3 linked regions of the Nothobranchius furzeri genome follow. The protein of the gene in region 2 interacts with the protein of the main gene of each other region in a pairwise test. Links are inferred from orthologs where the notes say so. Each region holds a gene or a part of one and is shown on either strand. Other genes may lie near its edges.

The links.
Region 1: the proteins of poldip3 (region 2) and exosc8 interact in a two-hybrid assay, tested with the Homo sapiens proteins (2 studies listed by BioGRID). The link is inferred for Nothobranchius furzeri from reciprocal best matches to the Homo sapiens genes POLDIP3 and EXOSC8.
Region 3: the proteins of poldip3 (region 2) and enhancer of rudimentary homolog interact in a two-hybrid assay, tested with the Homo sapiens proteins (2 studies listed by BioGRID, with this or other methods). The link is inferred for Nothobranchius furzeri from reciprocal best matches to the Homo sapiens genes POLDIP3 and ERH.

Annotation. Positions count from the first base shown.
Region 1 is NC_091750.1:62,637,194-62,641,356, reverse strand, and holds exosc8 (exosome complex component RRP43), read right to left. Parts: upstream 2,803-4,163; 5' UTR 2,738-2,802; coding exon 2,721-2,737; intron 2,458-2,720; coding exon 2,421-2,457; intron 2,324-2,420; coding exon 2,260-2,323; intron 2,075-2,259; coding exon 2,001-2,074; intron 1,927-2,000; coding exon 1,881-1,926; intron 1,747-1,880; coding exon 1,641-1,746; intron 1,558-1,640; coding exon 1,512-1,557; intron 1,438-1,511; coding exon 1,341-1,437; intron 1,261-1,340; coding exon 1,140-1,260; intron 1,052-1,139; coding exon 945-1,051; intron 823-944; coding exon 704-822; 3' UTR 603-703; downstream 1-602. UniProt on the Homo sapiens protein: Non-catalytic component of the RNA exosome complex which has 3'->5' exoribonuclease activity and participates in a multitude of cellular RNA processing and degradation events.
Region 2 is NC_091752.1:66,984,390-66,987,238, forward strand, and holds the end of poldip3 (polymerase delta-interacting protein 3), read right to left. Parts: intron 1,416-2,849; coding exon 1,199-1,415; 3' UTR 587-1,198; downstream 1-586. UniProt on the Homo sapiens protein: Is involved in regulation of translation. Is preferentially associated with CBC-bound spliced mRNA-protein complexes during the pioneer round of mRNA translation. Contributes to enhanced translational efficiency of spliced over nonspliced mRNAs.
Region 3 is NC_091758.1:16,818,457-16,822,773, forward strand, and holds the start of enhancer of rudimentary homolog, read left to right. Parts: upstream 1-1,406; 5' UTR 1,407-1,535; coding exon 1,536-1,538; intron 1,539-1,958; coding exon 1,959-2,046; intron 2,047-3,523; exon of another isoform or gene 3,524-3,656; intron 3,657-4,007; exon of another isoform or gene 4,008-4,130; intron 4,131-4,317. UniProt on the Homo sapiens protein: May have a role in the cell cycle.

The sequences.
Region 1 (4,163 bases), on a different chromosome or scaffold from region 2:
GCACAAGAACATGAATGATCGATACTGTGCTCATTGTCTGCCTCGCTTTGGAGATGGCAGTCAAAACAAATAAAAAAAGACTTTTTTTCTAACAGAAAAATTTTTATGATTTGGTTCTCAGATGTTTTCTGAAAACCAAACCTTTGTCCACTGTGGGGGAACTGGTTTCTACAGCAGGAAGCCCGAAGCTCTAAGAGCCTTGGTGATATTTTTTTTCAGATGATCAAGAAGAAGACGGGTCTTGTAGGTAACGAGCTTCCACGGTTACATATTTCTACTTTCGGAAGACTTTTCTCTGCCGAGGCCCTGTGGAGTGAGAGGACATTTTAAAGAGAATTTCGCATGAGGCTGCCCTTTAAGCACAGATTAGCAACACCAAGCCGTCCACGTGTCCACGACGTGAAAATGCAAATCTGATCTTGGGGAGTATTCCGGCGCAGGGCTCACGCGAGGACTCAGAGTCATCATGCAAGACGGCGTGCGTTTGTACAGCAGATTTTCAAAAGGTGTTACCTTTTAACAAGGAGCCATGAGCATATTCTTACATGAATTAAGACATCAGCTAAGTGTGCGTGAGACATTTCTGGACACTGAAAAGATAATTTTTTTAAGTCTTTGTCAGCAGTTTTATTGTTATTAAAAAAGAATATATATTGACAGTGGAAAATACAACTTTTAGATAAAAAATGTTGTCTGAGTGTATTTATTGAGCTGTCTTCATGCTTTTTATGACTTTCTCAATAAGTTTGTGGATCTCTCCCTTTCGTGCCGTTGCTCTTTTGATGCACTCCTGCAGCTTCTCTCCCGACAGTGGCGTTCCACCTGGAGGCAAAGTTTGCAGAGCCTTTTATCCCCGTTTTCTCAAAATACTCAAAATAATCTGAAGCTTTATTTCATGGCAGAAGCACCACAAATCTAAAGATCACAGATGTGCCATCTCTGACCTGGTTTATGTAAGGAGCACAGCTGATCTTCCTCATCCATCACCACAGTGAGGCGTGCCGTCGACAGGCTCTCCTCCTCGGCGGTGGGGTCTACGATCAGTATGGAGCTGCACAGGAAAACCAAAAAGGCTTAAAGAAGAACAAAATGGCACTTGTACCTAAAATAAAAATTGAATTGAAATCAAACAAACGTACTCATCAAAGATGCAAAAGGAGACGCTGACTGGATGTCGGTGAATGTTAAGTTTGTGTTTCTTTTCAAAATTCACCTCCGGGGCGGACGTCTCTTTGTTGATGGTGACTTCTGGGAGTTGTGCTGCAGGGAAAGATTACTAAAAGATAGATTTATTTTATTTATTACATGCACCGTTTCAGTAAAGTCTCAACCCTACTTACTGGTTTTCAGGGCAGCCAGAAGGGCGACAACACAAGCATCTAGGATGTTCCCGTCATAGTCGAGACACATGATGTCACAGTAGAGGACCCAGCAGAGCTGCAACAAGATTTAGCAGAATTATGATTGAATATATTACAACAAATAAAGTCCACACATGAGTCTAAAATCACCTTTCCTCGGCCAATGCACAAGTCTTCTTTCTTGATCACCTCAGAGCTGCACGACACATGAAGGTTAAGTCAAAGCAGTGGCAGAAACACTACAGCTGGAAACTAAAGGTGTTTGAAGGCTTAACACACCTCTCAATGATATCAGCGATGAACTGGCTGGCAGCCTGGGCCTGTTCCCCTGGTGGGCCTGGTCGGAAGCGGGACGAACACAGGGGTGGCAGGTCTACATTGGGCACTTTTTTAAAACATATATAGACAGATGATGATGTCATAATAAAATACAGAATCAAACAGAAAATACGAGATAAAGAATTAAGCAATGAAAACCTGATGGAAACAAGGAGGCTGTAAAATGTGTTCAGAACTTACCTATGTAACCTTTACCAGGTGCATCCACAGTAGGGTTAGTCAGCTCCTGCATATGAACACATGACTTTAACACCTAAAGAAATCTTAGCAGTAGCGGTTTGAGTCATTGTGCACCAGTACCGCTTTGATGCCACAGATGATCGTGGTGTTTCCCAGCTTTACCAGAGCGGAGCCGTCTGCAGTGGAAATAGACCCTGAACAGAAAATAAGTAAAAACTGTTACAGCTGGCAGTGATCAGCCCTTTAGGCACTGGAAAATGTTGGAGTTGAAAAAATATGAGCCGACTCATTTTGTATTAGAAGTACATATTATTTTATTTACATCATATCTAAAATTATGTTTTATTACAGGGAGGAAACATTTAATTTATTTTCTTACCAATGTTTAAGGTTGTACTTCTAAATTCAGACAACTCCCGCCCATCAGGTCTACAATTTTCTTTCTGCAAATGAAGCATTTGCAATTACAATGACACTAATAACAATAATAATAACATTTATGGGTTTCTACTGGGTATAGTTTGTATGTATTTGACGAACCAAAAAGCTCCTGTGATACTCCAGAGGCTCCGCCGTCCTGAAAGTTTAAAGAAATTAAATAAGACAAATTAGTAACAAACACGTGCGATCCTGCAATAAACAGCAGACCGATAAATCTAACAAATAAAGTGTACTATCCCGTCACTAGCCCAACTGACGTCACAGAAATGTTGTTTCTGTATTTTTTGACAAGCAAACTAAATTTAGATATAACACTGAACATTAAATATATCGATGATATATATTTGATGAAAATCAAAGTCTGAATATAAAGAAAAATACATGTTAAAAATGACTTACTTGAAACCAGCCGCCATGATGTTTTGATTACCCACGTGAACTACGGTGGCCGCGACGAAACTGTGATTACCAACGACAAGTGTGCATTACCGCCACCAACTGGACTGGAGTTCGGAAATGAACGAAAAACTGGCCAACAAATTCGTCTTTTTCAAAAATGAGTTGGTGTTGTAAGGTCAATAAAACTTTCAAATTGATAACCGGTCACAATTAATAAAGATTAAATAAAACTCGATATATTAATTTGCTAAACAAACAATATTGTAGTGTTTAAACAATTGACAGTGAATAAATATTCCTTACAAACTCCTCTTTCCTAACCGAACAATCCAGAGCAAAATTGTGGATTCTCTTATGTCTTCAAACTGAACTTTTTAGTTAGAATGGTTTGGATCATTCTTTTAAAATACAAAATTAAACTGTTAAACAAGTCATGTGTTTTGATGTTGGTGTGTGTGTGTGTGTGTGTGCGTGCGTGCGTGCGTGCGTGTGTGTGTGTGTGTGTGTGTGTGTGTGTGTGTGTGTGTGTGTGTGTGTGTGTGTGTGTGTGTGTGTGTGTGTGTGTGTGTGTGAGCAGTGCATGCATGGCAACTCGGTTTTCTGATTATTTTCTGCTTTACTGTTTTCTTTACTCAACCTCAAACGAGCAGTTAGATATCTGAAGATTGTCTTGGTCTGTTGATGTTTTGTTGCATTAACCCTCTGATGCATGAATTATGAAATCTTCAACCATGATTTTTTAAACTATTTTTTTCATTCATCTTTAGGTGTGAATGAAACAAATTTCAACAAATATTTTTTGTACCATTTTGTTAATTTACAAATACTTTATTACATGTCCATCTCAGTGGACAATGTGCATTCTGAACATGAAATATGGTGGCTTGACTTACTGAAGTCCAAATGGAAGGGCTCATATGCAATAAAGTCTTCAACAGCTGTGCTTAATAGCAAAAATAAATAAATAACAATTTTGAGTAACTGTCCACTGTAGTGACCGTTATGCACCAAAGGGTTAAGCAGCAAAATAAGCTCAGTTTTTGTGCTGGAGCAGGGAAACAAGTAAAACATGATGGATATGGAATATCGAGGCCCAGGGTTAGAGAGGTGGTGTAAAAAATAGGCGTCATTGCTTTTTAACTTCACTAGCTGGTGGGCCGGTCTCGGCTCAAAACGAACTGGCTGATTTTTTGTCCCAGTCCAGCCCTGTTGGGGACCCATGGTCGGAAATAGATGGGTGTGACTTAGCTTCCCATTGAGCGTGAGACACGTGTCTGACCCCTTTCACACACCTCCTCGTGCATGGAAACCATCACAAGTTGGCAGCCCTGTAGAAAATAACTTAGTTCTCTTGCATTACTCACCTTCTGTTATTCTATCAAAGCTGTTATAACAAATCTGTTAGTAAGCTGGGTTTTGAGAAAAAAAAACACTGTCACAATA
Region 2 (2,849 bases):
GGAAGTGGGAGTGGAGTAATACTCTGGCAGGGGGTGACTTGCTCTTTAAATAAAAGTGATGTTTCAACTGTCAAGTACGCGACATTAGCTTTTAAAAAGTTATAATTAAAATCTCAGCTATATGAAGTTGCCAGATTTATAGTGGTTTTCTCCACTTTTAATGCTCCTCTCATCCTGGAAGAAAGACTCGAAGCTCACTAAACTTCTCCGTGTCTGGTTGGATGGTGAATTTGGAGAGATGAACATTTGTAGTTCTATAAGTCTTCTCGCACAATGTTATCCTTGCAGACATCTTCTAGCTTTTAGGTCTGACTGGTTCATCTCTTTTCCTCCAGAGCTGACACACAATGAAGCAGAGATCTAGTTTTGTCTTCTGCAGGTCTGTTTGCTCTGTGGAAGTTCTGCTGTTCAGTAGGTTTCACCAAGTGCATCAACATATGAATACATTTCAGACATTTCTAGATCATATTTATTGATTTTTAACCTCTTACCAAATCCTGAGTTTCTGAAAGCCTAGAAATGAAACAGAGGTTAAAACATTTTACTTCACCGCGGCACGAACAGTGGAAACAAGTCTCACGACAGCTACAAGGCTAGATATTTAATGTTGACCCACCCCCCTCCTCTGATGACAGAACAAGGAAACAACTTAAAAGCAGTTTACAAATGCAAACTGAGAGTAACGTATAAAACAATCAAATTTTAATAGTCTGTCCCAAAAACAACCAGAAGTGGAAAACCAGAGACGTGGTGCTGGAGGTTCTTCCTGTTTGCTGGTAACATCAGTTACTCCTGGAGGCGGCGCAGCGAGAAACTTAAGTCAGAAAAGGACAAAGTGTGATCATTGTTCTGCTAGTTCATAGAAAACTGTAGATGCATGTACTTTTAAACATTAACTTCCAATTCTTCCCAATCTAGCTTTGTTCTAAATGTGCAGATAACTGTAGCACAAAAGAAAAATTCAATAAAAAAAAAAAAAACATCAAATCAAATGTCCACTAGACCGATTTAAATCATCGCTCAACACTTCAACTGGTCCGTTCCGGGGGAACGTGTGACACCAGAGAAGAAAATGTTACTCGTTTAAACGCTTTAAGTCAGAAATGTGTAAAAACCAGCTTGATGACAGAGACCGGGCCGTTCGATAGGATAATCATCGTTTAAAGGTGAACACTGCAGCAGAGCAAACTGGGTTTAGCTAGATCTTGATGCGAAAGGCTGTGGTCTGTGAGCTAGGAGCCTCGGTGGTGGTGGTGGACTGAGTGGTGGACTTGAACAGAGCTTTGAGGATAGTCTGGGGGTCCACCTCCGCTGTGGGCTGAGAAGAAGCCCGCTGACCAGAACCACGGGCCAAAGAAGGGGGAAGACCTTCCTTCTTTGTGCTGCTCCCTGCTCCTGGTGTGTCGCTGAGCCTCCTGGAAGAGCAAACACGGAATATCACCATCAACCTCATACTAGGGCTCAAGGGCGGATTTAGCTATTTGGGGGCCCAAGGCGAACACAGACATGGGGCCCCTTACACTAAATTTTCGACAATCTTACCTTTAACTGGATTTGCGAAACTCTCCCCTCTTCTGACATGAGTTATTTTCCCTTTTTATTAGTCCTCCTCTTTTTTCCTGTATTTCCCTCCCTTTGAGCGCTTTCAGTATTTACTCTGCTTTCTTTTTCCAGTCAGTGCTCCTGTGCTTTAGCCTTCGTTATTTTTTCTTTTCTATTTTCCATTTTGGTCCATGTTTTCCTCACTTTAAACATTTTCCATAGTCTTTCCTTTCTGCTTCCTTTTGATGTTTACATCGAGAAACGACGTCACATTCAGAAGTGAAAATAAAAGCTTTTATGAAGCATGCTGCTCCTTTCTCTTATTGGAGCCACCAGGATAACTCCATGTCATGCTTAATGTTTTGACTATCGCTTTGAGTTTGTTACAAACGCTCCAGCCTCTCTTCTTATTCTTATTTGTGGTCTTATGGCACTTGGCAAACAACAATTTGGTGCATTACCGCCACCAACTGGATTGGAGTGGAATGACTACCAATCACTTCCTGTTTGTGCATCCCCGTCTTAATAACCCTCTTATGACCATAATTATAACAGGGCCGCCTGGTATTTTTTTAAATCTTGTGGCTGTAAAATTGTAATAAAAAGTGCAAAGTGTGTGTAACTCTTCTTTTTTCAGAACAACCTCAGCTTTCAGTGTATGGCTTGTATTTAGAATTTATTTCTATTAAAGCCTTTAAAAAATCAGCTTAAAAGTGAAAAAAGCAAAAATCGGATTAGAATTTTTTTTACATTTATTACTGAACAGGAACTTCAAAATTACTGGGCAAACAATTTAAACTTTAAACTGTAATGCATCTATTCTTTAAAAAAATTGAACCGTGGTATCTTTTTTTTTTTTTAGCAGTTTTTAAGACCATTTATTTTTGTAAACTTTCAGACGTTTTTGTTTGATGTGGTAGGCCTTGAAGCAGTTTCTCTCCAGCTGCAGGCAGAGTGCACCTCACACTGCCATGGGGTGCTTCTCTTGCACACCGTGCACTGCTATACCAAAAACTTTTGTTTTAGCAAAAATAATTATTTATTGTGAAAAGATAAATAATGCTGGAATGATGCTGAATCTTACAATTAGCAAATAGTTGAGGGTTGTTCAAATAAAAAATAAAGACTGAACAAACGTTCATATCCTCGTTCACTGGAGATCTGTCCTTCTTCGTGGTCACCGTCTTCAGATATAAGCCTTCTGGGACACCTAATCGTTCGTGTTGATTTTCTTTGAGGCATTTCCATAATTTCATGCTGGTTTTTATGCTAATTAGCTTCCCCGTCCCGTTATCCGCTTTCACCGC
Region 3 (4,317 bases), on a different chromosome or scaffold from region 2:
TAGAACCTTTGCTCGGTGAGATCGGCTGCACCCATTTTAGTAGCGTTCATCATTGCAGTTATACAATCTTGCCGTTTCCTTCCCCCTGTTGCAACGAGCAGCCTGAAGCAAAATTGTTGCTTAAACATTTTGAAAAACCTTGCAACAAAAATCCTCAGGTGGCAAAACAATGTAGAAAAAGACTTTCCAGAGTTCCTTCTGGCCAAGTGTTTGGCTCAAATGTAATGGGACTGGTGTGTGTGTGTGTGTGTGTGTGTGTGTGTGTGTGTGTGTGTGTGTGTGTGTGTGTGTGTGTGTGTGTGCGTGCGTGCGTGTGTGTGTGTGCGTGCGTGCGTGCGTGTGTGTGCGTGTATCAGGTACCATAAAGGGAGATAAGGGTCCTGAATGGCTATCTGTTTGTTTGGGACTGAAAAGGAAATGACTGGAGTATAATTATATGAATATATTGTCTCCAAAGTTTAAACTTCCTTCTCAGAAAGGGTTTTGGAAGAATAGTCTAATTGGCTTTATCAATGGATTACTTAAAATGTGCAAATATTATCTAACAATTTGACAAAAATATAGATTGATTTACAACTCAGGTATTTATAAATACCAGAATACACATAAGTAGTGTGACTGGGTATGGAATTAAATATTCAAGCTTAGTAAAAATAATAATATTAGAGGTTAAAATGAGCTGCGATCTAACTGTAAACAATGTTTATATCACACCGTCAATCGAGCTTAAAATAATCCACATAAAGAGCTTCTTCAGCCACTTGTTTAATCAAAGATTTGTAGTTTTTTGTGCAATAATGACTCCTGGGACTCACTCACTCCATTTAGAAGCGATTTAACATACTTTTGAGTTTTTATTTTTATTTACCAAACAATAGAGCATTATTTACGGGACGGATGAAACATCTGGTGAGCATAGTTCATTAATATATTATAATTCATTACGGCCTATATGCGAGTAATAAATGACACCACATGCAAGCTATACTATTCAGTAATCGCGTGTGTGTTTTATCGCCAGGAAATGACAACAATGACTAGTTAACGTTAGCCGAACCTGTCATTACAGCAGACAGCTGCGGAGCTAGGTGGCTAACCTGGGATAGCCTACAGAGCTCTAATGAAAGCCAAAAAATTTAAAATCATTCCTAAAAACACACTCTTACCTCCAACGAGCAGTGTTTTACTTCTGTTATTTTGGGTTGCTCAGCAGGTTTAAAACTGGGCTCTCCCTTTTTGTTAATGCCGTTCTCTACCAGAACATCCGGCCGCTGAGTTACTACTTCCAGTTCACGCAGTCAGGTGATGCAAAATGATCTTTTGCTTTTGTTTTGGTGAACTATGATTATTATTATGATTGTTAAATATTATTTTAAACTACACATTAGTTGTGAAAAAGCTTTAAAGTAACCAAACATAAGATAAAATAAAAATGATTGTTGACTAGTTGTGCTTCCGGGAGAAAGGTCAAATCTCTCGGACGGAGCAAACGTCTGAGGAATTCAACCAAAGACGAGTGGAAAGCGTCTGAAAGCATGGTAGATTTATATTTAATTTATATTTATATTTAATTATTAATCTAGAATATTTCGTTAGATTCTTGTTTTTGTTTTTATATTCTTTAGAATGCGTTCGCTAACTTTACAGGGTGGATGGAGGCATATTTAGCTGCTATCAGCAGAACCGACACAGACATAACAACAGTTTTATTGTTAAACGGGCTCTAAAATATGATAGTTAGTTTTCATTTTATTTCAATATTTTGTCCTTAAACACGCGTGATTGAGTTATTATTTAATAATTACGGATAAAAATTCAACATTTTACTGACATTTCCGTCATTTTACAGCATTTTACTAAAGATGGTCACGTGTTATTGGTGGTTGTAATTCTCCCCAGAATCTTTTCCTGTCTTCTAAAAATCATAGAATAGATTTGTTTTTGTTTTTTTCTTCCAGTCTCACACTATTCTGCTGGTTCAGCCCACGAAGAGGCCTGAAGGGCGGACATATGCTGATTATGAGTCGGTCAACGAGTGCATGGAGGGTAAGTTAAGGATGAACTGATTCTAGTGCTATAATAATCCCACTTAGAAGCTGAAAGCTTTAAAAGGGAACATATGAATTTTTTACAGTTACAGTTTTTCAATGTTCGATACAAAACATGTTCATAGCAGTTTTTCCTTGCATAATCCCTTTCATAAAGTTACCTCACCACCTCTTTCGTTTATATTTTCAGTACTTTCCAGATTGAGCCATTTCAGGGCTTTGTCACTAGAGAAGAGCTAGGGATGTCACGGTAACGGGTGTAGCGGTAAACCCCGGTAAAAATGGTGTCAATAATAATAACCATCTTGTTTTTTAAAAAAGATATATTATCTCGGTGGATTACCGTGGCCGCAGTATAGGCACGGTGACCCATACCAGCCACCGTATCATGTGCGGCTGAAGGTGCCGCACATGCTCGCTTTCTAGTTTGCAACCAAAACTTTCTTGAAGCTAAAGCTGAAAGACGACGATCCTGTTTGCAGCACGTGCAGGAAAAAATGTCTGCAAAAGGCCACAATACATCAAATCTCATGACACATCTGCGTGACCATCACCTACAACTCTACAGTCAATGCAAGGCAAGTTAACGTTAGCACTTTATTTAAATGCATGATGTGAGGACTTTGGGTTGAGTGAGAATGCAACGAGTTGCCTTATAGTGCAGCCATAGCACCCACTGCCAGCATATAAACCGTGCCACGGACAACCCCAGATTGAAATGACACTATGCATTACGGGTCTCCCAGTAGGCAGATAAGAGTTAGTCACCAATGCAATAGATTGACTCTCGCTGCATTATTATGAATTTAACAATGATTACTGCCTGATGACTTTTTCCCAAATCTGCAAATCTCATTGGAAGGACACAAATTGAAGACAACTGTTCTGATATCGAGGTTTTATTTAGGTTTCCGTAAATATAACATGTTTCTGGTGCTATAATTAGTATGTGTAATACCCTCGAAACAACCAAGAACACACCAGGAAATAATAAATAGGAGTGGAAGATAAATATTTTTATTTTGCCCCACTGAGGGAAACAGTTTGTGCGCCCCTGATCCATAGGCGGGGCTGAGTAGAGTAGCCAACAACTGTACTCGAGTAAGAGCAGCACTACTTCAACACATTTTACTCAAGTAAAAGTGGCTGTCCAAGAAATTACCCAAGGGTAAAAAAGTAATTGATTAGAAGGCTACTTGATTGCTGAGTATCATCTGATCTCATATTTTTTAAATGATGACATCAAACAAACAAAATAAGCTATGGGCAAATTTTGGTATTTTAAAGAGCGGGTCAATTGAGCCTCGGAGTCCTTCTCCACCCACGTATCAATTTTAAAAAATGCAACATTAGTAGGCGTTGCCTGGAGGACCGAGAGGGCGGAGCCGCGGCAGTGACGAAGACGATGGCTAACTAGACGAAGCTAGCTCCCTTCACTCTGAGCAGTTATTAGAAGTGGAGGACGTTTCTCCCCCTCCTTACACAGACACTCGAGAAGAAAGGGACCAAGTCTATTTGGAGGAGACAACCGGACCTGAGTCTTATTGTTTTGAGCTTGTGAGTTGCCTGAAACTCCCAGAACCGACCCAACAGAATCACCTCTGAAAGGTAAGTAGCCGTTAGCCATAGCATTGGATTAGCTGCAGGGTTTGTCTCCACGGCCCTAAAAAGCTAGTATTCAGCATGTTTTAGAGGTTTATCTGCTTCAGCACACCTGGTTTTAATCAGCAACAAATAGCTGAGCTGCTTAACAGCTTATCTAACCTGTTAAAGCAGGAAAATCCACTGAAACATGCTGGATAGCAGCTCTCCGGTAGCTCTGGGCTCAAGTTACAGTCTGCTGCATATAAAGTTATGAAAATACCCCATGAGAAAATTATTCTGTAATGTGTTCAGCCCACTAAAACTGCCCTGATTTCTTTATTTATTTACTGATAACAGCTGCTCTCTTGGTTCTAGGTCCTCTGGTGTCTGCAGCTGGTCTCTGCTGGTGTCCTCAGGATCAGGAACTTCCAGAAGAATGTGCCTTTCAATGACTCTTTCCCCCTTATTTGTTATATTAATTAAATAAATCTCAATTTATATATTTCCTGTTTTTGTTCATGTCCATAAATACTTAAACATGCTTGAAATTAGAACGAGCTTTTAACAGTGAGGTGCTAGTTTAATTAATCACAATAGCTAGTTAAACATGCAACAAAAATGTGATATTCAATGTAATTTATAAATATCCATTAAAATATCAAAACTGGAATCTAAATGAGATATT